Linked DNA regions of Lonchura striata. The protein of the gene in region 2 interacts with the protein of the main gene of each other region in a pairwise test. Links are inferred from orthologs where the notes say so. Each region holds a gene or a part of one and is shown on either strand. Other genes may lie near its edges. The genes, in order: PSMA1, RAD54B, SUMO1 and TCEANC.

Region 1 (8,103 bases), on a different chromosome or scaffold from region 2:
AAATGAGTCTTACACAATTGTTGTGTCTCACCAGCCATTCCCCAATAACTTCTGAACAAGTTATTGGCCAACTGCAGTCAAGTCTGAAACAGGAGTAGAGGTCTCAAAGGAAATGAAGTCCCTACAAGTTCTGCAGAGGTGGTCAGGAGCTTTCGTGTGCATGTAACAGAACCACTGAGGGTTTTCCCCATTTTCAGCACTCCAGCCTATGTCAGCCAGCCAATACAGGCACTCCTATCCTGCAAGCATGACACCATGGAGCTGCATCCCATCAGCTGGCAAGGAGGGGAACACAGCAACTGTTATGGTGAATGTGCAAGGGATGATCTACAGGATACCACCTTCCCATAGGTTGTTGGGGATTTTTGGCATAAGGTTCTTTTTTTAGGTCTACTAGAAAGACCCTAATGTTGAATTTCATCCCCTGTTGTAACTGGAATTTCAGTAACATAAGATATTTCCTGCCCAAGAGCAGCACTGAATTGCTGTGACCTGTCCAACATGAATTTGTCAGCTGTCAGGAATGACATGCAAGACTGTAAAAATGAGAAACCACTTTGAGTTTTTAAATCTCCTATTTCCTTTTCTTTATTAACATATTCAAAAACATCTCCCAGTAAAGTATTATTTGCTCTTGCATTAACAGTGCCAAAAACTATTATGGCATCACATGACTGCCTCACCTGCAAGAATGGATAGAGTAGCAGTTGCATCACAGCAGCAATTTAAAATGTCTTTTTTTCAGAACAAACCCAACACTATTAATATTTTCAAGGCAACTTAAAAAAACAGAGAAATTTGTGTTGCTGATATTTTGCAGTATCTGCTAAAAATCTCAAGTGAATGTTATCATTTTAAAAGTAACTTTTAAAGTAACAGATAAAACAAAAAAAGTTTGTGATACAGAACCTGCCAGAGAAACACAACCATTAAGAAGACTGAAAACAGCTCAAAGGCATCAACACCTTCAAAGGCACCTACACCTATCATGGCATTGAGTGAAAAAAAGGGAAATATTCAAGGCTGTCTTCACGGAGAATGGAAAGGAGAGAACACTCTCTGTTGCACTGTACAGAAAATGAATCTCACATGCAATAGTGCTACATGATGAATAATTTCAGTAGCAATACAAACCCACAAACTAATGATACATTAGCTTTATATTAATACAATTTGCTACTTGCATTTTAAATAAACCTCCAGTTTTCCTGAATACATAAACGAGTCTTTTTCCAAGGCTCTGGTTTTCTGTAAGTATCCTGTCTTAAAATATCCATAGTGAGAGAAGAGGCAATATTAAACACCTCAGCTGACAGTGCCTTTTAAAATTCCAAAATATTTACTTTCAACACAGCCTGTGTAAGTTTAAGAACACACAATGTATATTTTCAGTAACAAAAAACAGTGTGAAACTGATTCATAAGTAGTAAAATTTCAAACTCAAATGTAAATCTCACTTGAACATCCCAATTATCTAGCGGACAAAATAGAGAAAGACCCAGTAATGGCCTAACTTTGGGGAGATTGCAACTGTTCCATGCTTTGTGTACCTTACCTACCAACTTATTATAGCTCTGTGAATGGATCACAGAGTCATGGAATGGTTTGGGTTGGAAGGGATCTTTACAAGATCATCTTGTCCAACCACCCGAAGATGACACCATCTCTTTTGCACCTCACAGGTACATTTAGAAAGCAACTGCCTTAAGCACCTGGAGGGGACAAGGCCCAGGTAAGCAGCACTTAGGTTCATACATCAGCAGACAGGGGTGTGCTGAGGGCTTTCTTGGTCACCTACAGCCTACAAAGGGAGAGGGGAGCAGCCTGTAGGAAGCTTCAGGTACCTGAGCACAACCTTTGTGACTGTAATACCACTGCTGTGAGGTGGAGAAAACCCAAAAAGCAAGTTAAAACCCCAGTGAGCAAGTGTATAAAGGTTTTACCTGCGGGCTCCAAACCGTGACATCATTGTCATACTGGTTGCGAAACTGGAATGAACAAAATAAAACTCATTAGTATCCCTAATAAGCTAAGAGAGTGCTCCTGGAGGAAACCCTGGTTGTTTTCACAGAATCCCAGCACTACACAATCAATAACATTGGAAACATCTCTGATACATCGAGTCCAATCTGTGACTGAACACGACCCAGTTGTTAACTAGGCTATGGCCCTGAGTGCCACATCCAGCTTCCCTAAACCTTCAGGGATGGTGCCTCCACCACCTTCCTTGGGCAGCCCATTCCAACAACAGCCCTTTCTGTAAACAAATTCTTACTTTGTTAAATTCCTTTTGTCGAACTGTGAGGTGGAAGGGACTCTAGAAATCATCCAGGCCAACCCTACCAAGGCAGGGTCACAGGAGCAGTGACACAGGAGCTCATCCAGGTGGGTTTGAATGTCTCCAGAGATGGAGACTCCATGGCCCCCCTGGGCAGCACTCCCAGTGCTCTGTATCAGCGTAAAGAAGCTTTTCCTTATGTTGAGGTGAAACTTCTTTTGTTTCAGTTTATGGCCACTGCTCCTTATCCTGTCACTGGGCCCCACTGAAAAAGGTCTGGCACAGTCCTCTTCGCCCGCCTATGAAATATTTGTAGGCATTAATGAATCCCCTCTCCCAGACTGAACAGGCCCAGCTCCCGCAGCCTCCTCACAACAGAGGTGCTCCAGACCCCTGGGGAGATATCCGCACGCATCCTCACGGGGCTCGGAGGTCTGTGCCCCGGGGCCCAAGCAGGGCCCGCTCCCGCCGGCAGCGAGGCCCAGTCCCGCCCGCGGCGCCGCGCGGCCCGGGAACTGCTTACTCACGGGCCCGCTCCCCGCCGCCCGCTCTGCCGGCTGCCCCGCGCGGGCCGGGCAGGCCGGGCAGCGGCGGGGCTCCCTGTGCCGGGCTGTGTGCCCGGCCCGGCCCGCGGCCCTCACCATGGTGCGGCTCCCGGCGGCTCCCGGCGGCTCCCGGCGGCGGGCGGCGAGCGGAGCGCTGCGGGCGGGCGGCGGGCAGGCAGCGCCAGCCGCGCCCCGACTCAGCGATGGGCCGCGCCCCGACTCATCGATGGGCCGCGCCCCGACTCATCGATGGGCCGCGCCTGCGCGCCGCCCTGAGCGAGGCGGTTCCTTGGGGGCCGGTTTTAATTGCCGAAATTGTTTTGTTATTTTTAAGCTTTCTGATTAATAATAATAATAATAATAAATAAAAAAGTTTGTTTGGTTCGGAAACTACTTCCTTTCCTCACCGTTTTTGTGTGGGAACAGGATGTGTAAGCATTTTATGAAGCAAGCTGATGAGCTTCAGGAGGTTGCAGTAAAATATTCCCGAAGCCTCTCCCTGGTGCCGCTGCCCAAAAACTTCCTACGGCAACAGGGGACTCATATTATTATACTATGCTATGCTATGCTATGCTATGCTATGCTTTGCTATGCTATGCTATGCTATACTATACTATACTATACTATACTATACTATACTATACTATACTATACTATACTATACTCCGGACTCCCCAGTAACTTCCTACGGCAACAGGGGACTCCTATTCTATTCTATTCTATTCTATTCTATTCTATTCTATTCTATTCTATTCTATTCTATTCTATTCTAATGTTTGTTATGTTATGTATTATATTATATTATATTATTATATTATATTATATTATATTATATTATATTATATTATATTATATTATATTATATTATATTATATTATATTATTTTATTTTATTTTATTTTATTTTATTTTATTTTATATTATATTATTATATTGGAACTCCGGACTCCCCAGAGCTCCATCCACCCCGGCCACGGGAGCAGAGCGACACGCAGACGTTTCCCCTCGTTTTGGCAAAACCGCATTAATTTGGATAGAAGGCTGAACCACGCCAAGACTCCCCATTGTTCAGTGTTTGTACGGCCAGGAATGTCAGCAGCCGCGGTTTTAGCGATCAAAAGGCAGGATTGTAAAACTTAACTTCGTGGAGAATTTTGGTAATAGCTGCAGAAATGAAGAACTTTTGGGAGCTGTATGAGCTGTCGCAGGTTTATTAAATAACAACCGAAGTATTTTCCGGAGTAATCCTTCCCCCTTTATTAGATGGATAGAACAAGATAAAGCCAAACCCGGAGCCACCAGATGTCCAGCTATTAACAATTTATTCTGAAGCGGCGGGGCTGGGGTCCCGTGGCAGCAGGAAGGGGGCAGGGGACGGGGATCCTGCAGGCGGCACAACGGCTCCGCGTTCCCAGGGCAGCAGCGCAAGGGGATGCCGGAGACAGGAATAATCTCTGGAACGGGAAACGCTTACCGTGGGAGGAAGTCATTCACTTCCTTCTGGATGCTCCTTCTTGTCCCTTAGGCTCAGGACGAGAGCTCTACAGGCAGGGTTAAAGCCAGAGGGTTGGAGGTGATTTCACCTCAATGATTTCACCTCAATGTGCTGGCATTAAAGAGGGCCCAGCCTATTCCTCGTTGAAGTATTTGAACTGAGGGTGTAAGGTGTCGATTCAGAAGGCGAGAAAGGCAAAATCAACAAGGCAAAAATCAAATGGCTGTTGCTCAGATAACAAAGGCATCACACCAGAAAGGAAGTGTTTTGCATATATTAGAAATCTAATTGCAGAGTGAAAAAGCAATCAGTATATTACATTGAGACATCACAATATAAAAGAGTACAGGACTGAAAAGTAAAGCTAAAACTATCCTCACATTTAAATGAACTACTTATTAAAAAATCTAAGGAGAAAATAATATTTTCTCCTTTTTAGTTTCACATTTGGTAACCTGATAACCAGGATGACTTCAGAGCAATGAATACACAATTGATAGCTGTATGAAAACAAGTTCAGTGCCCAGTAGTGTCCAAATTAAATGTAAGGAATGATTAGGACGGAGAACAAAACATAAAGCATTGCTGTGCCACTGTGTAAATCCATACTGCATCTGACACCGTTGAACATTGGCCATGACTCTTGTTTCCTACCTTGAAATGATGTGGCACTGGGAAAAGTAAAAAGAAGGATTCAAATTATGGAATAGCTTCATGTAAAGGATGCCAGTAAGGAGTAGAAGTCCTCAGTGTAAATAGCAGATAAAGAAGGAAAGGCTTTGAACTCTTTCCAAATCACAGCTGGCACAGAGATGCTGAATAGATTCAACACTTCTCTCCGTCCTGCAGTTCTGGTGCGGGGTGTCTTTAAAAGCAGCAGGCTCAAGCCAAGCCCAGGGGGCACTTCTGGGTCTTGTCATACCTATACTGTGGAAACCTCTGCACCTGAACACATCATGGTCTTTTGGTCACATACTGAGAGAGCAACTGGACAAATTCACAGACTAAACAACTGTCTGAGCCACCGATGCTGCTGCTGCAATGTTTGAGCTAAGAGCAGCAGTGAAAGCATAGCTATCCTAAACCATGCATATACAGTCTCAAGAGAAACTAATGAGCCTGTTTTATTCTATGCTGTGTTTCCAGCAGAGTTATAAACAGCATCTGACATCTGAGCGATGACAGGCATTGCTCTGCAGAGATTAATGTACAGCAACTGAAAGGCAAGGCCATTATGCCTCTGCTTCTGCTGATTCACGAGAGGAAACAACATTCCTGCAAGTCCCTTTTTGGGATACCACTCACCATCAGCCCACATTAACCCCTGTGTGCTATGCTCCTGTATTTAGGTGGAGTATTTTGGCAAAAGATTGGCTCCTCTGAGGTCAGTGGTGACACTCTGGGAGCACTCCCAGGGGCTGCACGTTGTGCTGCTTGGGCACAGCACTGCCAAAGGAGGAGAAGAAAACTGCTGTGCCAGAGTAAGAGGCAGACTGAATGAAGGCAGTGCCTCCATCCCCTTGGAGAAGGGGAAGAATAGATCCCAGAGAGATCACAGAGCCACTCCTGTCAGATGGACAAGTGGTTGCCCACAAATAGCAGTGCTGTCATAATGCGCTCAGGACTGAGCATTTTGACTAAGTTATTTTGAGAACTGTCTTACAGCCTTGACAATGTGAACAATCCATATTTGGATTTAATACAGGTAAGAGATTTGCTTCATTAATAGATATATGGTGACAAGACTACTCAATTAATTAATTAGAAGCCTTGGTGTATGACATATGTAGTATTTGATGACATTTTCATCAAGTAGGTTAAGACTAAAAATAAAAATTTGACAGCAAATATAAGTGTACATATTTGTCTTTAGAATCATTTAAAGATGATCTTGGAAGTTCTTACAAAGAAAAAAATATATTGCTTTGTATTAATACTGTAAATAGGAAAAAATAACCTCTCTATGTAAATTATACCAAATTTCTTTCCTATTCTTTTGCTGCCACATTAGTAGAGGTGCAGACATTTCAGTCTCTAAGACAAACTTGCATTCATGTTGCCAAAGGCATTTTTTCCATTTTTAAACTACTGACCAATTGAGGTATCAACTACAGGCATTTTAAAGCCCACTCCTTACTTTTTTTAATCCATAGCTTTTGTAGACTGACATCAGTTGACCTTTTCAGGACAGGCCTGCAGGGCAACCAGCCTTGCTTGATCATCAAAGCTGGCTAGGAAAGAGCAGGCAATGCTGAAAGCAGGTTTAAATAATCCCTGTGAAAGAGAGCTGCAGGGAAGAGTCTGGCTCATTCTGTCCAGTTCTGGAATAAACAAGGGCACAAGGTTCAACACAGCAGAGCTGTTGTAGCATATCCTGGTCATGGAAATAGCTTTTATTTGTAGGTTCTTGTTTGACTGGACCAACAATATATTTACATTTAGATGGATATTATTGCTATTTCTTGGACCTGAATTTTATTTCTTCACTCTGAGTGAGGAAGAGTTTCTGTATAATATGCTTTTATTGTACAAGAAAAATGTACTTTGAGCTATAAATTGCTTGCTAGCCTAGAAGTTATGCTTTAAACAGCATATGTAGAATTGTTTGAGTCATCAAAATACAACTGAAGAATTATTATCATAATTTATGGATAATTATGAAAGATATTGTTGCAGTTACCAGAAAATCTGCTCAGCTTTTCATTTAAATGAAAAAGAATGGCAGTTACAAATTTTCTGTGGATAAAAGATCCATTTCAGTGGGCATATAGCTGCATAAGCTCTTTCAAATACATGAACTGCTCTGTTGATTCATATTGTTGGAACTATTTTTGAGCATTCCTGAATCAAAACCAAAATATCATCAAACCTTCAGCAGTGGATATATAAGATTTTGAGGGAGAATGGTGAACAGATTCACAAATAAATACTATCTTAGGTTCAAAATTTCTCCCTATGAAAGAATCATCACAGATAGGAAATAACAGCGTGGCACAGAAATGAAGCCATGAGACCACTAATGGATCCCATTTCCTTGCCACTAACGTTGTCATATTAAATTAATGACTAGACAAAGTATTACCTGCTTACTTATGCATTTATATGCCATAAATATTTTACAGTGAGTCCTTATATGTAGATCACACAATAAAATGTTCACAATATTTTTGCCGCATCTGCTGGTGCCAAAAATTTCTGCTTGAGAAATGGAAAACCACTTGCATACAGAAACAAATTTTCTGGAGGATATTAAAAAAAAAAAAAAAAAAAAAAGAAAAAAAAAAAAAAGAAAAAAAGAGAGAGAGAGGAAAGGCCCTAGGAATGACGTACTGTCCATGGCAAAGCATTAAGGATTTATGTGACACTTCTCTTTACAGGCATTTTCAAGTTCTGTGAGAGAGATAAACATTGTAATATTTACTGTTTAGGCAATGGTCCTGGTATTTCTAGACCACATCTTTTAAAAAGTGACTCAGCCTATTCTTACTGTGGATTCAATTTTTTGATTAGGAAAGACATCAATAGAGAATTAATATGCAGGAAAAATAGATGTTTGAGTATGCTTTAGTCTTAAAAATCGAGCTGTCATCAGCCAGGTTTACTTTACTTTTTGCCAAGCTCCTAATTTTGCTACATGGATTTTAACAGCTTTGCTGTCATGCATATCCCACTTTTCATAGAACAAATTTTGTTTGGCACTGTCATCCTTATTGCATGTATTCCTAAACTAACAACAATGCAAGCAGAAATTTAAGCCTGTCCTGACAAATGTGAGAGAGCTTCTGG
Region 2 (8,009 bases):
TCTTGAGACAAACAGCAGTACATTTTCCTGGTGGTATAAACCTTGGCTTTTTGCCAGCATTTCCTAGGACTTGACTGGGAGCTGCAGATCGCCTCATATTCAGCTGTACTGCTCTGCAGAGTGGACAAGAAGGAAGCAGATAAAGACAATTGTAGTCAGAATAGGCTTTAAATATAAAAATATATCCATAGGTGACAACAAAAGCACTATTTCAAAATATAAAAGAGCATACAAGATCTTAAAATAACAATATTAATTCACAAGCATAGTAACATTTAAGAAAAGGTAGTATTGTTGCAATGCTGTGTTTAAGTACTAAGAAAGATCAACTACAGCAAATTCTGCAGCTGAACACCTCGATTTTAATTTAAAAAGACAATAATGGAGTTCCCAACAGCAATAAATGCTCTGGAGATACACAGTATAGGGCTACTTAGCAAACTTACAGCAGTTTTATTAAAAGAAAGACAATTTTAAGCAAAACTTACTATTCTATACACTCTTCTATAATTTTGAAAAGCCCATTATTAGTGCACAATGAACAATGAATCTTGAAGGTATGTCTCATATCTGGGACCAGCATTTTGCATTAAACAGTCAATTACATTGGTCATTCAGGTTCACCATAATAAGATTAATATTCAGCAGAAAATTATCACTGAATTACAGTGAATATTATTGCTTCATGTTATGTCCACTTGAACAGTGGAAGGAATGTATTATAGGTTTTCCCTCAAAATATAAGACCATTATTCCCCAGAAAAATCTTAGGGCAAAACCAGACATATACCAATGTTAATATGACAAAGTTTACTTTTGCAACCAATAGAAAAACAAGTTATAATCTTAATGCTTCAAAGAAGTAGACAGAAATCAAACAAAAGAAGAAAATGCCAATAGAATGACACAGCAGCCAAAATGAAGAAGGCAAGCACAACTTGCACTGCAGTTACAGGTTTAATTCTCTGTTTACACGTTTATTTTAAATGATTGCACCAACAACTGGATTAAAAATAAACTGCAATACAGATTGCAGAATCAAACTTCTGTAACATCTCAAAAGCATGTTTGCATTCTGCTGCAAGTGTGTTTCTGCACCTTTTTTGGCGCTACTCTGCACTCCAGTGGCTTCCTGGGGCACAACCACCATTATTTCCAAGGTTTGCACTGAAGTAGTGACAGAGCACTGCCAAAACACTTTTCAAACATGCAGAGACTGGTAGCAGGAGTACTACTCTCTCCCCATATCTGCACAACTAGCATATATATGATGCTGTTACTAGACATAAATCGCAGGGGCAAAATGGCCTCAACTGTTGTCACTTCCACTGTGGCTGTTATTAAAAATACAAGGAAAGAAGCCTCTGTGTATGCAGCAGTTCACTTAAGTTAGGCTTACCTGACAACAGTGACAGCAAATGAGTTTTAGTTAACCCTATGCAATAAGGGAGTAGCATGGTTATTATAACAGGAAGATCTGTAGCATGAAAAGCCACTGTGAACACTGCAAAAGTGTCAAGAATATTCAGGGGGAGCAGACTGCAAGTACCAGTGCTCACCACAGCCAGCTTCAGGTGCCATGGGAATCTGAACAAGTTCTCTTCCCAACCCGACACTACACAGTGATGCTTGGGAAGACATTACAGGACACCCCAGGATTCTGCAGGAGGACTGTGCATAGCATGGCTGCAGTGCTACATTAACCCTGCCCACTGCACTTGAGGTTCTGTGGGACAGAGAAGCTGTATAATTCATAAATTGCACATATCCATGACTAAAGTGCTTTGTTTCCCAAATCTATTTGGCCATTGCACTATCACTTAGTCTAAAACCATAAAAACAAACTCATTAGGAGATCTGAAAATTACTAAGACATTTGAAGACACTATCTTTGATAACTCAGTAACTTCACTGTTACCGTATTACCTACGTGTAAGTAAAAAGACTGTTACAGGTTTGTGGGTTTTAAAATTAAATATGGCAGCCAGAATTACATCTTTGTTTTTTAAAATACAAGTTTTCATAAAATATAATGAATTTTTAATATGTTAAAAAAATAACCAAAACGCTTACAATTTACTTTACACTACTAACTTTACAGTACTACCTAATAGGAATAGAACATCAGGGACATACAACAAACCACTGATGCCAGGTCCTTCAGATAAGATCAGAGTGAGTGAAGCATGGCAAGGAACAGCTCCGGACTACAACTAAATGAAAGAATATGCAAATATGCCCTTTCCTGAGAGACAGCACCGGTACACCGGGAACCATGCCCTTGCCTTACTGCTAGGTCTGGCTGCAGGGAAACAGCTGCGAGCAATGCAAAAAGCACTGCTCCGGCTTTTATTAGCAACCGTGCCTGACCAAACCCAGCGCACCACGAAACCACAGCCCAAACCGTCTCACAGTTTGTCAGGCATTGAATTCGGTTGTACTTTCTCCCTTAAGGGTACATTAGTAGCTGCATTGAAAATTAAATATGCATACAAAGAACGTTTCGAGATTTTACACATGCAGCTCAACACGGTGCGCACGGAGCTCTGCTAAAGGCAGCCACAATGCCCACCCCGGCCCAAACTCGAGCAGCTGCTCCCGGAGTGTTTGAACAGGCACTGCCGGCACAGATGCAGAGGCAGAACAGGGGCTGTGGGCAACTGCGGAGACGTGACACAGCATCACCTTAAACTGCAGGCAGCAAGCGCATCGCCTAGAACATCAGCATTACTGAAAAATCGCTTCAAACCAGAAATAGCTGTAAGGAATTTTTACAAGAGCCATGTAGCAGTAGGACAAGGGTGGGTGGCTTCAATCTGAGGTAGCGGGGATAGATTATATGTAAGGCAGAAATTCCTCACTCTGACGACGGTGAGGCACTGGAACAGGCTGCCCAGAGAACTTGTGAATGCCCCCTCGCTCAAGACCAGGATGAACGAAGCTCTGAGCAACCTGATCTAGTGAGAGATGTCCCTGCCCACGGCAGGGGGGTGAAGCGATGCCATTGGTAGGGTCTGTCCCGGGGTCGCTTCCAGCAGGGCCCGCGGCTGCCGTACCTGCGCTCCCGCCTCCGCGCTCAATTGTCCCGCCGCGCGCTCCCGGCAGCCCTGCGGCCGCACCGCGCCTGCGCCCCGCCAGCCTTCCCTTCCCGCCCCCGGGAGGCGCTGCCCGCGCATGCGGAGTGCCGGTCCGCGGCCTCTGCCGCGCACAGCATGGCGGAGCGGCTGCGTCGCGCCGCCGTCAAGCGAGAGCGGCCGTAAAGGGAAGCTCGGCTGTGCGACAGCGAGCGGCGGCGGGCGGGTGAGCGAGCGGGGCCGGGGCCGGGCGGAGGCGGCGGGGGCACCGGGGAGGGGGCAGCGGGGCCCGAGCAGGGGGCAGCGGGGCCCGGGCGGGGGCAGCGGGGCTGGGGCCGGGAGGGACGGGGCGAGACGGGGCCGGGGCGAGACGGGGCCCGGGCGGGACGGGTGGGGGCAGCGGGGCTGGGCCCGGGCCCGGGGCGGGCGGCTTTGTGCTCAGCGTTGTTGGGGCCCGGTGCCGGGCCGGCGGCAGCAGCGCCGCCGCGTGGGGAAGGCAGCTGTGAGGGTGCGTGCAGCTGTGAGGGTGCGTGCAGCTGTGAGGGTGCGTGCAGCTGTGAGGGTGCGTGCAGCTGTGAGGGTGTTTGTCGCTGCCTGAGCCAGCGCAGGTGCTGTTCCTTGGTGTCGGGTTGCTTCTCCAGATTTTTCTGGGCCAGCTCTGTGCCCTGGGATCAGGATCGTTGTCCGTCCCTGAAGCGCCTTCCCAGGCCGAATCCGGTGGCCTTTCCTCTGTTCCTTGTACACAATTCCCCCTCGCACAGCTCCGAGGTCTGACCCTGGGCTTGGCTCGGGGTGTCAGAGCCCAGCCCTGCACCTTGTGCTCGAAGGTGCTTGTAGGGAGGGCTGAGGTGCTCACAGAATTAATTAGGTTGGAAAAGACCTCTGAGATAATCAATCCCATTCCAGTGGCTGGCCACCCTTTCTGTGAAGAAATTCTTCTGCTGTCCAAGCTGAAACACAACCCCCAGCACAGCCTGTGTCAGTGGCCTCTCATCCTGTCACTTATTGCCCGGGAGTAGAGACCAGCCCTCACCTGGCTGCAGTCTCCTTTCAGGTGGACCGAAAGCTCTGAGCCTTTTTATGCAGGCTAAACAACCCCAGCTCCCTCAGCCCCTTCTCACAGGACTTGTGCTCCAGATCTTTCACCAACTCCATTGCCCTTCTCTGGACTCTGGTCTGTGCAAGGCAGGTCATGGATGGCTCTGTTCTGACTAGGTTTTGCAGGACAAGTGTTGTACAAAAATGTTCTTTGTCAAAATAGCTATAGTGGTTACGTGGTTCCTGGAAGAGGCCTTAAATTGCCTCGTATTTTTTATATTAAAAAAAAAAAATCAGGTTTTTGCATCAGTGTAAGGTGCTCTTGCTGTTCATTTATTCTTACCCTCCTCTCTTCCTTTTACATGAATGTTCATCCAGCTCCCCAATGTACCGCTCTAGAGAGCTGAGCTGAGGGAGTAGCATCTCTCAGCATCACTGACCACAGACTGCTGCTGTCTGCCTTGCTTCCCTTTCTGCCCTGGCTGCAGTTTCTTATCCCTGGTCATGCCCTGCTTATGCAGTCCCTAGAGCTTTTGCTGAGCCATCTACAAGAAATTAAATCAGGGTATGGTTGTCTATATGGTGAGTTGCATGAGCCAGTTCAGGAACAGAGCACATTGACTGTTCTCACTGATTCAGAGGAGGAGGTGGGGAGCATATTAATTTGTGGATACATAGGTTTGAGCTATCGTAATAAAACTGCCAAAGTTATTTTTTTTCCCCCAATTCAGTCTTAAAACAGGTCAGTTACTCAGAGTGATGCATCAAGTGCCTGAGAAACCACTTGTACAGTCACAGTTGAAGGGGTGAGTCTGCCCCTTTGGGCATTGATGCTGGCTTGAAGTGGCTTACAGTGTTAGAGTGGCAAAAAACACTAAAATATTGCTTCTGTATAGCAGGATTTCTGAAAATAAAAGCTGAAGGAATGTCATGTCTCAGTGCCACCTCATCCCTGGATCCTGCATAGACTGTTCCTCTAGCATTTCTGAAAATGCTTTCTTAGCCATGCACATTTGTAGTTCTGTTGTGGTTCACTCCAGCCTTTCAAACAGTTATGCTTTGTTTTGTCACATGAAAAAGAAGCATTTTTTAAAATGCAGAAGCTACTGCAGATGCAAAAGTGAAGGTCACTAATTTCATTTTGGTGTCCTGACTTTCACAGTGGAATAGCTTTGATTAGTGCCAGGCATTTGGCAAGCTATGTGATGATGTTGTTGGGAACTACATCCCATCTGTATTCTCCCTGTTACTATATCCTCACCAAATCTCTGTTAGAGGGCAGTGAAGTCCACAGCTCAGGGCTGGTTTTGGATGTGCATCTGCTGACAAACAATGTGGGATGACAACTGTTGAAAAATTGCTTGATACCTGTGAATTCTGGAGGGGATTTTTACTTGTCCAGAACTGCAGGGGAAAATAAAACTCATGAAACAATAAAGAGCAAATAGCATGTCACAGTTTGTGTGCTTTCTCTCACAAACAAAGAAATCCCTGCACAATGATACCCTTACAATTTATGTACCCTCCCCTACATGCTCTTCACACAGCCCTTTTAGTCCAGTGGTGATTTTTGGTCTGGGCTCTTCTAAACAGCTTATTGGATTCTCTCTCCATGTCCATGTTATTAACTGTTACTGAGTTGCAGTTTCTGCTGATGACCATCAGCTCCTTATCTTTTGGTTTGTGCTACTTGTGCACCTGCTCCCCGGTAGAGCATGGGAAACTAAATTAAAGTCCTAGACTTTAGGATAAACATTACTTAGCAACAACTAAAACATTGGTGTGTTGGCAGCATTCTTTTCATTCTAAAGGCAAAGCGAAGCACTGTAGCAGCTACTGGGAAAATTGCTAAGGAAATTAACTCAGTTCCAGCCAAAAGCATGTCTAGGTAAAATTCCTTAGCTTTCAGCCTAAGGCTTCCAGCAACCCAAGCTACACGTGCTAAGCAAGTAGATATAAGCAAACAGCATTCTACATCAACAGAGTATTGTAATTCTAAGTGACTTAATCTATTTAGAAGTTACTTGCTTAAGCAAGCAACTGACATCTCTCAACAAACTAATGTAATTTCTAGGTGCAATCAAAAAGAGTGTGACAATTGGTGAATTGTAGTAGAATCGGGAAAATAAGTTTTGAGGTCAAATGGAGAAGAGGGAAGTTTCTGGAGATAAGGAGAAGCTGAAAATTATCTCATTTTGTGGTAAAGATACTGGGTAAAGTGATTTGTACTGCTAAAGTGCATGACATTCATCAGATGCTCTCCCTCTGCTTATCTCTTGACTAAGGTGCATTTCTTGAAATTGATAAGAAAATATCTCTGGTTCATCAGGTCAGAAAACTTCTACTGGCAGAAGTCTGGGACTTCAGTACCAGCTGTTGTCATAGGTCCCAGATCCATTGCCAGAAAGGTTCCAGCACTGTGTTTTGCTGATCCAACATGAGTCTTCAAAATGTCCTGAAGAATCCCCCTTGATTGTATTTTTTGTCTCAAAGTTCCCATCCGCTCTTCATTTGAACTTCAGTTAGGCTAGGGCTGTATACATCTATATATATTTATATACAGAAACATATGTGTATAATATATATATTGCTGCTGTTGCACTTCATTTCTCTGTTAAGCACAAGTAAAATTTTTGTTCCCCATTTGATAAAAATACTCTTTCCTGCATTCCATTAGTCTTCAAACTTGCTAAAATGTGCTGAAGAGTGTCTTGAAGACTTAGTCCTCAGGGACTAAGCAGTGTTTGTGCAAAATGTAGCTCACAGCATCCACAATTCTAGAAGAACAGAAACTCTAGGACAGTAGAAGTACATAGTTTTGCTCTCTTATCTGTCCTTGAAAGTTTTCTAAAAGCAGAATCCTCTGGAATTCACCAAACCAAAGCAAAGTGTTAGACTTACAGTTCATATTATCTAATCTATATATGCTGTTTAAGTCCTCTGGCATAACTTAAGGGGTTTAATAATGGCATCTTTTATGATGTTTTAAGTGAGCAACCCTAGTTATTCTACACAGCAATTATATCTGCCAATACAACAAACTTGTAATGGTTTTGTTTTAAAAATGAACTGCCTGTCATGGCTGGATAAAAACAGGTAGATAAGGAACTTCCATCTTTTTAAGGAATATAATTTTACCAGATTTCAGTTGCTACTTTTCAGTAATACTGATTCTGTTGTCTTCAGTTTTAAGAAGATAACTGGCTTCAGAATTGATCATCAGCAGAGTGTTCAGTTTTGTGATAAATATCTGCATCAGTAGTAGTTGAAACAGAGACTGATGATTATTTTCACATTAATCTAGTCAATTTTCCTGTGTTGAATTGTAGGTTTTCAGTGGCTTGCTTTGGAAAACTTGGTTTTAATGGGCTGTTAGGATAGCATCTATTCAGTAGCTGGCTTGTTAGACATAGACTCAGTAACTTAGTAAACACTACTGAGCTTTACTCTTCCTAATTTTTCTCATAGGCATAATAAAGGAGTGAAGAGAAACTGAAGGAAGCATTACATGCCTTACTGATCAGAAAACTTTCTGAAGTATTTGGGCAAACTACATATCTAGGTAGTAAAATCTACAAAGGTAAGATCTCTTCCTCTTCTATTTTATTTAGAAAACCTCATAACTAATGAAAACCTCTTTCATGAGTCTCACTGGGTTTACAGAAGTTACTTTACATGTCAAGGAGCAATTTACAGCCTAAAACTGATTCTTTTAAGCTAGTTCTGTGGAGTTTTAGCAAATTCCAAAGGTTTTTCATTATAGGATTTAGATGAAGGCAGATTGTGCATTAGTTCTTCTTCACAAAGCTTTCAAATCCATTCAAAAATGCCTCAGTTTTATATAATAGATCATGTAGGAAAAGACAGTAGCTCTTTATGATTTCTGGGTTAGCTGAA
Region 3 (7,242 bases), on a different chromosome or scaffold from region 2:
ACTGCTACTATGACAGTGCCTCTGGCCAATATGAGTGATCAAACTATGATTCATATTTGACTCCTGCCCTCAAGGAAAGAGTGCTCTAGTATTAAAAACAAATAGGGAAAGTGCCCAAGAGTAGAATAAGCAGAGGGAATTGGAGTCTTCAAATCATAAAGATGCTTGTTTAAAGCCCCACAACCTCTCATTCACAAAATAAAGAGGAAAAAAAGCTGTAGTTTCAGGAGAAGAAAAATAATATAAAATCAAATAATAGAAGTGCCAATAATCAAAGCTTAATTTAGGAGCAAAATACTTTACACCAGGATACAAGACCCAGCAAGTCTGAAAATGCTCTCTGCATTTTGTCAGTGAACTATACTGCCATTCAACGCCAGATGGTTAAGGCAACACAAAATTACTTAGAAATAAAGAAACTAAGGAGATTCCAAAGTTGTTACAACTACTAGCATCCATTAACAAAATCCTGGATCAGCAACTAGCAAGGAAGCCTCCAGACTTCTTGCCCTGTGAAAAGAATGGTGCTTTAAAGTACCTCATGAAACAGGACATAAAAAACACCACCATACAAAAGAACAGAAATACCACAGCACTCCAATTTCTAACTTTTCATTAGATGCCTAAGGTTTTAAAGGCTTCATTGCAGTTTTCCTAAAGAGCACAATGTAAGACTCTGTGCACTGTCTCACACTTATATACGGACCCTAAAAAGCACACGAAGTTTCTTGGATGAAACACACTGGTACTGCTATTGCAACTAACAAAAACTAAACATACACAAAACAAACTTGCAATATATTGCAAGTTTCCTCCTCCAATTTTCAGAAGGGATAAAACTTCAATGTCTAACCTTAAAAAAACAAACTATACTCAGCATTTTAAAGGAAAATTGTCAAAACCAAAAGAGGAATAGATGTAGAACACGCTTCATAACAAAGCAAATAAATGCTTACATTTTTTAAGGGAGTGAAAAACATACACACAAACTACAGCATTCTTTATTAACAGATTACATTAATAGATAACATTTAGATTAAAATAATGCAAAAACAGCCTAACACACTTGAAGGGAGGGGGAAACAATTTGTGTTTTGTTTCATTTTTGCTTAGATCCCACCAAGCAACCATGAGGTTTTTTTTAAGTCTGCCCTTCTTTCAAGTATTTTTATTTACCATAAAAGTCAATTTCCCACTGAAAATAAAGTAACCCTTCTTTTATGGGTGATAAATGACACCCCTCTTAACTTAATTCCAGGGCCAAAAAGAACAATACTCTAAGCAATTCACAATTTTAGGTAATCAAGTTATTCTTGTAAGATTGATAAACAGAGGAATGAGATTTACAGTGCTGCATAACCTTACATTATTCTTCTACTTAAGCATCTGTTTAGCTCTTGTTGCACAGTGCTCCAGAAATGAATGACACAACGTCTAACAGTGTTTTGCTTATCTATTAAAAATAAACAGCAGGCTCCTTATTCACAGACCTTTAAGATACATAGCCACAACAGGTTATCACATACATGGAATTTTACATACTTCAAGCAATCTCAAAGACAAAATACGCATGTATTTTAGCAGAACTTGCCTGGGGAAGGATTTGCCTAAGTAATGAAAGCTGCTATTTGCTAAAACATACCTTGGTTCCGATATGCAGACAACTAGAGAGCAGGTCACGTGAACATCTGTCTATAAAATCTAGTTCAGAAATTGTTGGTGAGTTTGTTTGTTTTTTTTTTTAAATGCAGTCACTTTCACGTATTTTGCTACAGGGGCGATGTGTCCTAGGAGGCAGCAATCGCTGTGCTCCCAGCTGCCCCTCTCCCAGGCACAGGCACAGAGAGGCAGCAGCACCATTGTCAGCCGCATTGTGCTGGGAAGTCGGGGGCGGGGAGGAAGACCACCAGCGCACACAGCGCTGGCTTCTTTTCACGGCTCCTACTGCACCAAGGCTACTCCCCAAAGCAGACACGGTATGCACTAAGCTGAGCCTTGTCTCTGGGGACTTTTAATTTCCTGGCTGGCACCAGTACTATTCTTGACTTCACAGCACTACAAGAAACACATGTAGGTACTGACATTATCACGATAGCTACACTTTGGGAAAAATCAAAGATAGAAAACAGTGCCCTATGACGACAATATAAAAAAAATAAAGCAAAACGGAACACAAATTGAAACCGGAACGCCGTTTTAACTTTCCACTAGCAGGACATATAGCCTAAAGCAATAGTTGTAGGCAAAGCACTGTATACATGCCAGGCCGAGCAACCCAGGAACTTGCGGTACAAGCAACTATTCAACTCCCCGGCTCAGAAAACAGAAATGATGTGGGCATAACGAGAATATTATTTGGAGCGAAGGCAGGACAGAGCCTTCATAAAGGACGGGGTGTTTAATACAAGCAAGCAACGCTCAGCTGAGAAACGAGGGGGAGAAAAACAGGCTTTCACATTCCTCGGGCGAACGGAGTACCTGGCAAGCCTAGCCTAACCCTCACAAAGCCCGCTCCGGGGGAAAACCATCCTACCACACACCCGGGAAACGAAAAACGAAAGGAAACAACAGTTGTGCAACACAGCTTATCCCTCGCCGCATTCCCGGGTTTCCAGGGCCGGGGCTGTCCCGGCGGCGATTCGCTTCGTCCGGACACCGCCCCGGCCCCCGTGTATCCCTGCCTGGAGCCCGACCGCGCTCCTCGCGAAACACCCCGAGGAAAGAAGAGAAAAGGATTAAAATGCACGCGGAGAGGGGCCCGAATCGGCCGAGGTCGGAGATCGGCATCCATCCATACACACACACACACTCCTCTCGGAGAACGTTCCCCCCGGCGCCCTCCGGGCGACCGCGACTCTGCCCGCCCCGGGCAGGGCTGCCCCGCGGCGGCGGAGAGTGCGGGCGGGGGGCGGCAGCTCCTCCCGAGCCCCCGGGGCCGCCGCGCCGTTCCCCCGCGGCCGGGACAGCTGCCCGTACCTGGTCAGACATGATTCGGCCCCGTGTCGTGCGGCAGGCTCGGCTGGGCCGCTGCAAGCGCTCCGCTCCTTTCTCTGCCCGCAGCGCAAACACAGGGCCGCGGCACGGGCGGGATTTCCGGTGCGCCTGAGCTCATTTCCCTCCCGGGCCCCGCCTGCGGCCCCGCCCGGCCCTCGCGCGGCACCGGCTCCCGCCGAGGCCGCGGGGGAGGCGAGAGTCGCCGTCGAAAGAAGCGACCAACGTTAAGGGCAGCCCTGGCGACCGGAGCCAGGGTTGCCACAGCTACGGTGACGGGCCTGGAGCATCTCTCTTCATGAGGAGAGACTGCGGAAGCTGGGCCTGTTCAGTCTGGAGGAGATTGTGAGGGGATCTCACGAATGCACAGAAATACCTCCAAGGCGGGTGCCAAGGGGATGGTCCCAGACGCTTCTCAGTGGTGCTCAATGACAGAACGAACAGTAATGGCCATAAACTAAAAGATAATGAGTTCCACCTCACCTTGAGAAAGCGCTTTCTCAGGTTGAGGGTGGCAGAGCACTGGAACAGGCTGCCCAGGGAAGTCATGGAGTCTGCCTCTCTGGAGATATTCAAACCCCTCCTGGTCATGTTCCCGTGTCACCTGCTGCAGGTGACCCTGCGTGGCAGGGCTTGGACTCGATGCTCTCCAGAGATCCCTTCCAATCCTGACAATTATGTGAAGTCACATAACCCTTCCCACAATAGTAGATCTTGGAGCAAAAATCACTTTCATACTGCCTACCTCTAATATCTTGCTGAGGTTGTTATTAAGACAATATGCCATAGCAAAACTCACTTTTGTTTAGAGACAGTGTTTTTTTTGCAACCATGCAAGCAATGGGATCTGCATGTATTAAGCAAATCTGCAGCCAGGCTTGCATTTGAATAAATTTGCAAAGATGTATCATTAGAACAGGTGCCCTGCTTTACATTGGCACAGCATCGCTATTCAGAAGTCTGCACAAGAAATAACATCTACCTAAAAGATTACATTTAGGCTGCAAGCTGTTTGGACTATAGCATGGAGTCCTAACATCCCCTCTACAACTGCTCAGGCAACTCCTGCATGGCATCACTACTGGCATATGCTTAGATCTAAGTGACCACCAGCAAGTAGAAAAAAAACTCCACACATGAGAACCATGAAATAGCATGAATGTAAAATTAATGAATCAACAGAAACTAGCTCAATTGAAAAAATGAGATTATTACCCTTATGCTACTAAACAGAGTTTCAACTTTACCATCTACCTTTGGGAAAGTGCAGAGTACATTCATTAGCTCTGAGCAAGAGGCATTCATTAACATAAACAGGCCAATGCTCTGTGTGCCATATTCCCTTGTAATAACACCAAACACCAAAGCAGCTGATCTCTGTGCCTGCATTTCTGCTTATCAGTGAATGCCAAGCTACAAACAGAGCTACACCAAGAGGTGCACTTTTGCCAGCCAGCAGAACAATCAGTATCTAGACTCATGGGAATTAGTTCTAATCACAACTGTTAAAACAAGTCAGAATTAACAAGGGAGGGAAAAATAAATAAAGAGAACCAAAACAAATGCTATACAGAGCTAGAGAATGAAGATGATCTTTCTTAGACAAGGCCAAGCAGAAAAGCCAAATATGTTCATGCTATGCCAAGCTCACAGTAAGAGCTCATTATGAGCTTAATAATACACACAAAGCACCAAAATAAGCCATGCAAGGGCTCCACAACAACGCACAATACTAGCAAAATGGAAAATGACAAATATTCTATCCTGAACATTACTGCTTTTTATAAATTTTAAATGGGTTTTTAAAAACAGAGCCTTACTGTGCTAAGGCCAAAGTCTCAGACTCTGGCACAAACCCAATTTTTTCAAGTAATCCCATAATAAAAGCTAACACTCATATGAGTTAGAGTGCAGTTATCTATCCACATGCATAGCCATAAAGATACAGGGTTAGAATGTGCTTATCAGCACACACACTAACAGTAGCACCACCTTTCACCACCCTTCTTATTCCATCAATTGTGGATGCACCAGCTCTCCAAGACACAAGCTAGTTTTATACAGGATCTTCAAAGTTAATCTCCACTAAGACTGTGAAAACTGTGGATGCACAGCAGTAAAGCTCTCACTTTTCTTTTTCAATGGCTCAAATTCAACATAGAATTCACTTAAAGAGAAAGTAACAAAAGCTGTTTAAAAAATACCAAATATACTTACACAAGCTTCTTCCCACAAAACCCAAAGCCAGCCTTGCATTTGCACGCACTGCCCATAGTACTTGCCCTAACAACCTCACTGAATTCTCAGGTGTTTTATAATGTCTCTTATTTTCCTACCTGCACTTAACCTCAGTCACCTGATGCCAATAAAGTTCACCTCTGTTGACTGATTTCTCCAAAGCTACTGTATAGGAGCCAATAGCTGCAAGAGGTTTTCTCAAAGCTATTGGCCCACACATACATAGAGTCTGTGCAAAGCTTCAGTCCATCAGAAACAGATTTCTTTAAAAAGGAGACTTTAACCTATAAACAATTTGTAATCTCATAATACCAATTTGCTTGCCTGATAGCAGTTAGTGCTAGCCAACAGGATGAATGTAGTATTCTAGGGCAACCAGCTAAGTTAACAGTAGCTCTTACATAATAAGAGTACTCTGCCAGCAGGGCCAGAAATAGTACTTTAAAACTAGGTAGAACCTGGAAATTCTCTACCTCCTTGAACCTAATTTCTTTGGCAATATTACTGGTTGTGGGATTTTAAGAAAATTGGTTATGTGATGTAAAGTACCAAAGTCTTTCCTTTGAATAAAAAAATCTTCAGAAATATTAAAGTCCACAGATTTCTCTCACTGTGGACTTTCCAGCGTACTCCTGGAAACAAAGGCATGCTGACTCATACAGATGGTTGCATAAAACGCAGCAATGACTGTCTGATATAAATCAAAAGCGTTTCTTGGAGCCTCTCTACCTGCGGGCAGGAAAATCTCTGCCTGTTTTCAGTACAGCTAACCCTGCGTATGAAATAAGCGGGGATTTCTAAGGGCAAGGAGCGGCGCTTTCCGCCCGCCTCCCACCGGCACGCAGCTGCTCGGCTCCCCAGCAGGGCCGCGGCACAGAAGGTCAGCCAGGCGCCGCGCTGTGCACGCCCGGGCTGTGCCAAGGACAAAGCACGAGGTGGCACCAGAGTAGGAGGAGGCTCAAGTGGCCGCCCCAGCGCCCCGGGCCGTGCCTTCCCGCAGACGGAGCTGCCCGTGCCCCGGGGAGAGCCGAGCAGCGCGGGGAAACACGCAGCGTTCGAAACGCGTTTTATACGAGCAATTTGGTGCTTGTCTGTTGGCGAAGCCAAGCTTTTAAATACTCGCAATCGCACTGTGTCAACAATTCTTTACGCAAAGGAAATGCTTTCGGTGCGATGAGCTGCAGGTCAGGCCACGGGAGCGAGAGCGGAGTGGGCAGAGAACGCAACCCGCCACGTGCAGAGGGCCGGGAGCGCCGCTGAACCCCGACACCGCGGCCGGTGCGGCTCGGGGTCGCCGAGAGGACCACCCGCTGACCCCTGCTTCGGGGTCCGTTCGGGAAACAAAGTCTCTAGCACGGCCCCTCGCGTCCCGGGGAACACACCCGCTTCCTATCAACGGTGGCCGACCCTGCCGCCAACTGCGGCACCCGGGGAAGCGAGGACAGCTCGGGTGAGGTGCCAGAAGGGCACACCGGCGGCGCCCCAGCTCCCGCGTGTTTGTGCGTCAGGAGACTCGAACCCGCGGCGGGGGCGGCCCCGCCACGTGGCTGGCGGGCGGAAGGCGACCCGCCGCTTCCGCTCCCCGCGCGCTCTCGCTTCCGCTGCCGCCGCCGCTTCCCGTTCCGGTTCCGCCGCGCGGCGCGCGCGTGCTTGAGCGCGGTCGGTGGCGGCGGCGCACGCGGCGCCCGCCGCAGCCATGCTGGTGCTGTTCGAGACCGCCGCCGGCTACGCCATCTTCAAGGTGAGCCGCGGGGCCGCGCTGCCGCTCGCACGGAGGGTCGCGGCCGCCGACCTGCGGCGGAGCAGAAGGGAGGGCGAAGGGGAGCGCGTCGGGCCTGCGGAGGGAATAACGGGGAAACACGGTGGGGGGTGAGGGTGAGGGAGAGGGAGGGAGTGGGGGTGAGGGAGGGAGTGAGGGAGGGAGTGAGGGCTCCCGCATCCCGTGCGGCCCCTCGCGGGGCGAGCAGGGCCGAGGGTGGGAGCAGAGGCCCCGGGGCAGGGGCAAGCTGCTCG
Region 4 (8,080 bases), on a different chromosome or scaffold from region 2:
CTCAGTACTGAACTGAAACTTCACTGTATGAAAGTTTTTGGACTTTGTCAAATTACCACTTCATTTCCTAACATTCTTTTTTCTCAACAATAACAGATTTTATAACAAAAAAGAATTGTTGTTACATCTGACAGACAACATGAGCACTATTTTCCCACAGCAAGAGGATATTGTAAACATTCTCCCTCACTCAAGAAACATTCCTGGCAATAGAAACATGTTCTAAGTGGGTTTGTGTAATCATTTATTAAATAACTACTTTTATGCAATATAGTTCAGTCTCCTAACTGTTCATCTGGATGGATGCAAATGTTCATATTCATATTTCCAATCACTTCAGACAGCAAACCAGTCAAAATAATTCAAGAAGGCTGTGATATCTCCAAGTAGAAACCATTTTTTTCAACATCCTTTAACTGTATTGCCTTATACAGGTAACAGTTTCAGTTAATTTTATGTCTTATTGGTGTTTCAACACCACTGGGATTGCATCCCTCTGCTCCCTCTACTCAATCTCTGTGCACAAGAAGCATTCATAACATTGTCCCCCAAAGACTGGGAAATTGTAATTCAAAATTCCTGGTACATTGAGATTGGTTTATACACTATGATGCTCTTAGAAGTAAAAAAATGGGAACTGTCTTCCCATCTTTCCACCTCAGACAGAATGATAGGGAATTTGCACCTTTTTTAAAAAGGAAAGGTTACAGTATTATGCAAAACATGTCTCCAGCAGCCAGTACTTGAAAAAAAACCAGACTTTTACATGTTCTATTATAACTACAAAATTATGTATAAAACAATTGTCTACTACAAAACGACAAAAGACTGAAAATTCTTTCCCTGTTTACCTACAAAGATGTTACCATCCATGCTCATTCTTGGTTTTACAGCTTTCCTCCACTATTTTGTAATTTTATCTTAATTTTTTTTTCATTTATCCAAGAAGAATTAGAACTTTTTAAACCTACAGAAAAGAAGAACATGTTGTGAGCTGCAGGTATAACACTGGCTTTTAAGTGAAAGATCTCATCAAATTTTCTTACGTCTCCATCTGTTTTTCAGTCTGCACAAATATTGTTTATATCCTCTTGCAGATGTACCTATTTGAAACCTGGACAACCTCAATCTAAACAAAGCTTTCCTGGAGTGGATCACATTTCCTGCTTTCACTGAGCTCTGCATTGGCATAGAAGTCCAACAAAACAGACTGTCTTGAAAACAGAAGCCTAAATCAGTAAGTAAAAATGTACTTAAGACATATCCATCTAAAGTACATTTGTTAACTTAATACTTCAGAATGAAAATATGAATCATTTTGGAGAGAAATAAGCAATGCTTTCTTTTGAACACATTTCCTTGACAAAATAGCTTTAAAGATTATTCTTAATCATACACAGCTACCAAGGAATTAAATTCTAGCCCACTACAAGTAAAGGTAAATGCTAAGTTTCCGATGTCTTTTTATGAAAAACTGTACTGACAAATTAATATAAAAATGGAACACGTAAGTAATAAAGACATGCTTTATGAACTTCTGCAAGCTTGTCATCATTTGTCAGATAAACACTGTATTTTCATTGCTTTAACATTCTTTTTTTTAGTTAAGTCTTGGCTCTACACAATTTCTATTTGTCATTCCATTGCCAGGGCCATATTTAGATTAAGTATCACTGTTGTTGTTTTACAGGTTTTCCACTGAAAAATTATAAAACTTTTTTCCTTTAAAAATAAATCCTTTGTGTGCAGGAGAGTGCATATGCTCCTGAAAAGGCCATCCATTCTGAATGGATAAAGAGTATGATTTAAACAAATGGTACTTGTAAAATATTATTAGTGTCTGCTGACATTTCTTATGCTAAAATATGAACACTTAAAAGTGAAAGTACAAAATTTCTTAATACTTTAGAGCCTTGATCAAAGACCCATGATGCACTGGTTTAAGCAAAGGTTGAAATACACTTTAAATGAAATGGATTTTTATCTATTTAACTATTAAAACAATACTACATTTAAAAGCATGGACTCTAGCTCCTTTCTATATTTATACCAACATATATCTTATTTCAAGACATCAATGCTGCATGGAGACCAATATAAAAAATACATAAAGAATTCCCATAATAGCACCATTACAGATATCCATCCTGTAGCTTCCGAGGTCAGCCTCTTCTGTGAGTGGAATTACAGAAGTTACGGCAGCTGGGAGCAGCAGCCCAGTCGTGTGCATTTGGAAGCAGCTCACATTCGCTTGGCGTCGAAGCCAGCCACAGGTGACAGCTTGTCTGGCTGAGATCTGGGGTCAGGCTCATGCCACCAGCGGCTGAGAATCGCTACTGGAGTGTTCATCTCGGTCACCAGGCCATGAAGCTTGGGGGAGATCAGCCTGCAAATCTGCCTGTGCTCGATTCCCACGACACCGGCGTGCCCACACACTCTGTGACCCAGAATGCCAGGGACATGCTAACTCTGTGGGGTTTTCTCCAGATTCTTAATTAAAATTTCACAAGATCGTAGAATTAATTAGGCTGGAAAAGATCTGAGATCATGGAGTCCAACCTGTGATTGAACATCACCTGTCAACCAGACCATGACACTGAGTGCCACGTCCTCAAACGCCTGCAGGAGCGGTGACTCCACCACCTCCCTGGGCAGCCCATTCCAGCACCTAATCGCCGTGGTGAACAAATTCTTTCTAATTATTTCCAACTTAAACCTCCTCTGGCTCCTCATATCCGTTCCTACTACACATCCCCGGACCCGTCTAGCTTAATTCTGACCCACTGCTGTCCTGCTCAGGGGCGAAATACTGTCCCGCACAGCCGGGCCAGGAGGAAAAGCAAGCTCAGCCCTACCTACCAAAGCCCCGCTTCTCTGGGCGCTGCTCCCCGTTCCCCTCGGTCCCCAGGGCCAGCCGGGGCTGGCACGGCGCTGAAGGGCAAACCAGGGCTGCGGAGCAGCCGGCGGCTTGTGCCTCTGAGACTTTCCCCCGACCTCACCGCCAGCGCCAAGGCAAGGGCGGCGGCTCCCCGGACGCTAGTGAGGCGGAGAAGCCGCACTCCCGCTGCCCCCGGCGAAGCACGCCGCGCCGCTCCCGCACGCCGCGCCCCGGCGCCCTCACCTCCGCCGCGCGGCCCGCCATGGCGCCGCCCGCCCGCTCCCCGCTCCGCCGCCATCTCCCCGCGGCTGCGCGCCGCTCCCGCCGCCGCCGGGGCGCGGGCGGACACCGGGCGTGGGGCGGCTCCGCGTGTCTCAGGAAACAGAAACCACGTCTCGTTGTACCAGGAATGGCGTGGCCAGCAGGATTAGGGAAGCGATTCTTTCCCTGTGCTCGGCACCGCTAAGGCCGCCTCGAGTACTGTGCCCACTTGTGGGCGCCTCTCTGCAGGGAGGACACTGAGGTGCTGGAGCGTGTCCAGAGAAGGGCTGGGAGCAGATGTCCTAGGAGAAGCGGCCGAGGGAGCGGAGGTTGTTTAGCCGAGAGAAAAGGAGGCTTAGGGGTGACCTTATCACTGCCTACAACCACCTGACATAAGGCTGTAGCCAGCTGTGGGTCGGCCTCTTCTCCCACGCAGCTAGTGGCAGGATGAGAGGACATAGCGTCAGGCTGTGCCAGGAGAGGTTTAGATTGGACATTAGGAAGAATTCCTTCACAGAAGGAATGATTAGATGCTGTAATGGACTGCCCAAGCAGGTGGCAGAGTCACTGTCCCTGGAGGTGTTTAAGGACGTCTGGACGTGGTGCTCAGTGCCGTGGTCTGGCTGACAGGGCGGTGTTGTGTCAGGGGCTGGACTCGCTGATCTCGGAGCAAGCTGATCAGCACTGATCTCTTTTCCAAGCTAACTGATCCCGTGAATCTGCCGTGGGATGACCGTGGCAGGTGTATTCCCTGTGGGCTCCTGTGCTGTGCCCGTGGCTGCCGCAGGGTGAGAACGCTCCCGAGCGGGCGGCAGCCCTGGAAATAACTCGCTGTCCCAAGCAGCCTCAGGTGTGCGGGCACAGTTTCTTTCCACTGAGGCTGCCGGCTGTTTTGGGCTTGGATCTGGTACTTGGATCTGGCTGTGGGGCGAAAGGGACACCATGATGCTGCCCTGTGGCAGGGCATGACCTTCTTGTGGTATTGGTCTGCGAGCCCCACCATGCTTCTCTCAGCCCTAAAATGAATGAAAAATAAATGACATTCATGTGATTTGAAACTTTCAGTCATTATATGGTCCTTCTCCGGCAAACATGGCTAGGGAAGGCAGTGTGACACACAAGATAAAGGCTAACGGAGAACAACAACAAAAAAGTTGTAAAACTTCCTGTTTTCAATATAGTACTGTGTTGCTTTTGGTATAATCAGCTAAATGGAGCTATTGGTATACACAGAGTTAAAAAAAAATATAAAGTCTCGTAAGGTTACAGCTTTTTGATATGATGAAGTCTGCTGGACATGTCTGATTATGCAGTAAACGTCTAAAAGTAAATGCAGTTTAGTCAAAGGTATTTGTCATTGCCTTTGTTATAATGCTTTCCTCTTTCCCATGTACTTCCTATTTCATGTATTTCACATAGGTGTTCAAAATTATTTTTTAAGAGATTGCTACTTCCAGAATTTTGGCTCTACAGTAAATCTATAAATGATGCTGGGGTTTATACTCCAATACAGTAAAATGTTTGTATGATTTTTTAATACATGTTTTTGGTTTTATTCACTAATGAGGTCTGTGTTGCCCTCTGCTGTCAGTAATCTGATTTTACCTACCTGAAGGCACCAAATATGTTTTGGCAAGAATATCATGTAATGCAGACCTCTTTTTCCTTATTTTGACATAATGAACATCACCATTACTAACCACACAGAGAAAAAAAGCCTTGCATTGTTGTAGAGGATGTAAAAAAAAATAGATAAATTATTGTAGTGAACCAGTTTATCAGTGCTCATCACTGAGTGATCTCAAACCTTCCCTTGAAAGAGCTGAAATGGTTGCATTATACACTGATTGCTAATGCTGTTCAATTCGTCACTCACAGTGTGTTTGTGCCAGACTCATGAATTCACCAGCGATTGAATATGTGATGCAATGAGTAGCTGAATGCCACAGTTGAAATCAGGCTTCCTTTTTGCCTCGTCTTTGTGTCTCACACGGGAAAAAAAAAAAAAAAAAAAAAAAAAAAGAGTGGAACAAAACCTATGCCAAAGAGTTTTATGAAACCAGTGATCAAGAGTTTGAAGTATGACTGTCCAGAAATGACACAGTAACATACTAGCAGAACAGGATCAGAACCTTCCAGGTTCAAATGTGGCATGTCATGCAGGGGCCTGTGTTACATATTTTGAATTATTTCTGTAGCCTACATATGTCAGGAATTCAGCAGCAGCTCTCTTTGCAACATCCAGGAGTTTGCAGTTTCATTTCAGTTTGGGGCTCCAAGGCTTTAAATGCCAGTTTTCTTTAGTCTTTCTGTACCTGTGTGATTATGAGAACAGTACATACCGAATTCCTTATGTCCTCAGCTGAAAGTGCCTACCACAAAGTCACAGAGCTCCCTTGGCAGGAAAGCAAAAAGAGAACATGGCTTTTTCCTTGTGATTAGCCCTCCTTTGAGATGGGATCAAAATTGAGGGTGCCTCTCCTGGAGACTGGTTCCTCACTCAGAGGACAGTTTGGGCATCTCCATTAAATTGTCTTTGATCCAATGAATAAAATTATTCATCATTATTCCAGTTTCCCATTTATAGAACAGATACAATAATACCTTTGAAGTAAAGCAAATTAAAAAAATATTAAAATTATACACTCAGTAAATTCATACATATATGTATACATGTGTAATGATATATGTGTATGTCTTTGTCTCTGTATGGTTTTCCAGGATAATATCAGTGTACCAGTGATAACTTCCTTGAAACTTCAGTATTGGCTGTGATAAGCATCTGCATTTCTAGAAACATAGGCTTCTATTCAAAAGATGGAGATATTCTGGCAGCTGGTAAAATATTGAGTATCCAGAGAACTATTTGGAAAAATATTGGTCCATCATAAGGTTTCTGTAGAGAATAGTATATGCTTCAAATACGCCTCTGTAATTTGTTTGATTTTTTTAAAATTGTTACTTTTAAAGAAAAACCAACAAAACCAAGTACATGGATATAATTTATTCATAATTTTTAATATATTTTTACTTTATTTTTAAAATTGTGTCCTATCTTAATGGCATAATAGGATTTATGACATTAATTTTGTACTCCACCACTGTAATTCTTCCTGAAAAGCTTTCTTCAGTTTAATTTTTTTTTTGTTTAAAGGTTATCTTGTCCATAAGTCTGGATTTGTATTGATTTTAGAGTTCCCAGGAAAAAGACAAAATGTGGAAATGTGATTCTCTTTTTAAAAAGGCTCCCTGCCTTCTACTAGCAAGAGAGGAAAAAAAAACCCAAAAAACATAATATGAACCATGAAGCAAAGCATTATAATTAAATGAAATTAAATCGAGGCCAAAGTTGCCGTGCTCCCGCCCCACAAAGGAATAAACCAATACATAATACAGGGATAATAAAACATACAAATAACGCAACTCCACACAAAGTGTTTTGAACAGTCATCTCCCTCTATCCTTAATGATATGCAGAAGGGAATCCTATATAAATGTCATATTCCTAGACTCTGAAAATCCACGAATTGGGCCGTATTTTATGACAGATTTCATTTTGTGAGAACACTTTCAATCGCAGCATTTGAAATTTGTTGATACATGCAAAGAGTGACTTCTTGGGTGGCTGTTCTTTTCAAGAGTCACTTTCACATTTTCAGGCTCTGATCCAGTTCTGAGAAGGAGGTGGATGAGGCCCTGGATTTCCTTAGGCTGGTGTTGAACTGATGCTGCTTCTGTGTGACAAGATAAAGCCTCCAGCACTGAGCAGTGGATGAGCTTGGCAGTAATGCTGCTCAGCTCTCCTGATATGGCAGCCCATGCTATTTATTTCCACGTCTTGAGATTCCTGTGCATTTTCTGTAACACTGGAGTGTGCTGAATTTAGGATTATGAGGATGATGCACATAAAGTTAACCAGGTAGTGTTGATGAGAGATATATCCCATGTGTTTCCTGTCTCTTCCTCCTGGCATGAGTTCCAGTACATGGGAGGGAATATACCACCTGGAAGACCTGAAATTGAATTGCCAGGAAGATTATGAAGAAATTCTGCCAGAGTCAGCGGAGTGTTATGAAGCCATCTGAGTAATTTGCTTAGTTAAGCACTGAAGAACACTTCATTTGAGGGAAATTGAGATAAGCAGCTCTCTCTGTGTCCCCTTTTCTGCTATGCACAGGCAGTGAACCAGTCTGGTGTTAATGAGTCAAATATGAATTTGTTGTGGCAGGCCTGGGGTTGTTTATATACACACAGTGCTCTTGAAATAGTTACTTCTGAAGGAACCAGCAAGTAGATCAACTACAAAGTGATCCTGTGTTCCACCACTACACATCTTGGTGGACTGCAATGCCAGTACAGGAAATATGAGAAAAATATATTGGATCTTTTTCAGTGCAAGTGAGTTTCCAAAAGAAAATGCAGCCATTCTCAGATCATTTTTTCTTAGAGGTATTAGCTAATTTAGAGCCACTGACTATATCCATGTAAAGAGAATTGATTATTTTTTCTTATTCCATTACTTGTGGTGACCTGCAGTTAATTTTCATATTCCTTTTGCTTGCACAGTCACTCAGTATCACAAGATTCTTTGCAGCCACCTTTCAATTTAACTCTCTTGAACCATAAAGGCAAACATTATTATCTTGCTATTTACACCTTCACATGCATTTTCAATAGTGCATATACTTAAGCCAGCCTACAAAGGGTACTATTTTAAAATCCTGGAAATTTCAAAGAAGACAAAGAAATTTAGGACTCCCATATATTTACATCCTGGGCAGGAAGATGATGCTAATGATTAACTCACTGTAAGTGAACATGTGGCTTTCTTGAGTATAGTATCTGTTCTAGCACTTTTAAAATTGGCAGTTAACATTACTTTATTTAGAATAAAATTAATGCTTGTGGAGATGATAGTTTTTTTGCGGGTGATTTTTAAAC

What was found.
Region 1: the proteins of RAD54B (region 2) and PSMA1 interact in a two-hybrid assay, tested with the Homo sapiens proteins (2 studies listed by BioGRID and IntAct). The two-hybrid records come from large-scale screens. The link is inferred for Lonchura striata from reciprocal best matches to the Homo sapiens genes RAD54B and PSMA1.
Region 3: the proteins of RAD54B (region 2) and SUMO1 interact in a two-hybrid assay, tested with the Homo sapiens proteins (2 studies listed by BioGRID and IntAct). The two-hybrid records come from large-scale screens. The link is inferred for Lonchura striata from reciprocal best matches to the Homo sapiens genes RAD54B and SUMO1.
Region 4: the proteins of RAD54B (region 2) and TCEANC interact in a two-hybrid assay, tested with the Homo sapiens proteins (2 studies listed by BioGRID). The two-hybrid records come from large-scale screens. The link is inferred for Lonchura striata from reciprocal best matches to the Homo sapiens genes RAD54B and TCEANC.

The regions. Positions count from the first base shown.
Region 1 is NC_134608.1:50,395,746-50,403,848, reverse strand, and holds the start of PSMA1 (proteasome subunit alpha type-1), read right to left. Parts: upstream 3,005-8,103; 5' UTR 2,923-3,004; coding exon 2,920-2,922; intron 1,989-2,919; coding exon 1,944-1,988; intron 1-1,943. UniProt on the Homo sapiens protein: Component of the 20S core proteasome complex involved in the proteolytic degradation of most intracellular proteins. This complex plays numerous essential roles within the cell by associating with different regulatory particles.
Region 2 is NC_134603.1:24,218,069-24,226,077, reverse strand, and holds the start of RAD54B (DNA repair and recombination protein RAD54B), read right to left. Parts: upstream 3,135-8,009; 5' UTR 3,057-3,134; intron 114-3,056; 5' UTR 98-113; coding exon 1-97. UniProt on the Homo sapiens protein: Involved in DNA repair and mitotic recombination. May play an active role in recombination processes in concert with other members of the RAD52 epistasis group.
Region 3 is NC_134610.1:26,736,701-26,743,942, reverse strand, and holds the start of SUMO1 (small ubiquitin-related modifier 1), read right to left. Parts: upstream 3,098-7,242; 5' UTR 2,989-3,097; coding exon 2,977-2,988; intron 1-2,976. Other genes in the region: NOP58 (nucleolar protein 58), read left to right, coding at 6,926-6,970. UniProt on the Homo sapiens protein: Ubiquitin-like protein that can be covalently attached to proteins as a monomer or a lysine-linked polymer.
Region 4 is NC_134604.1:99,181,670-99,189,749, reverse strand, and holds the start of TCEANC (transcription elongation factor A N-terminal and central domain-containing protein), read right to left. Parts: upstream 3,200-8,080; 5' UTR 3,177-3,199; coding exon 3,122-3,176; intron 3,092-3,121; exon of another isoform or gene 2,860-3,091; intron 1-2,859.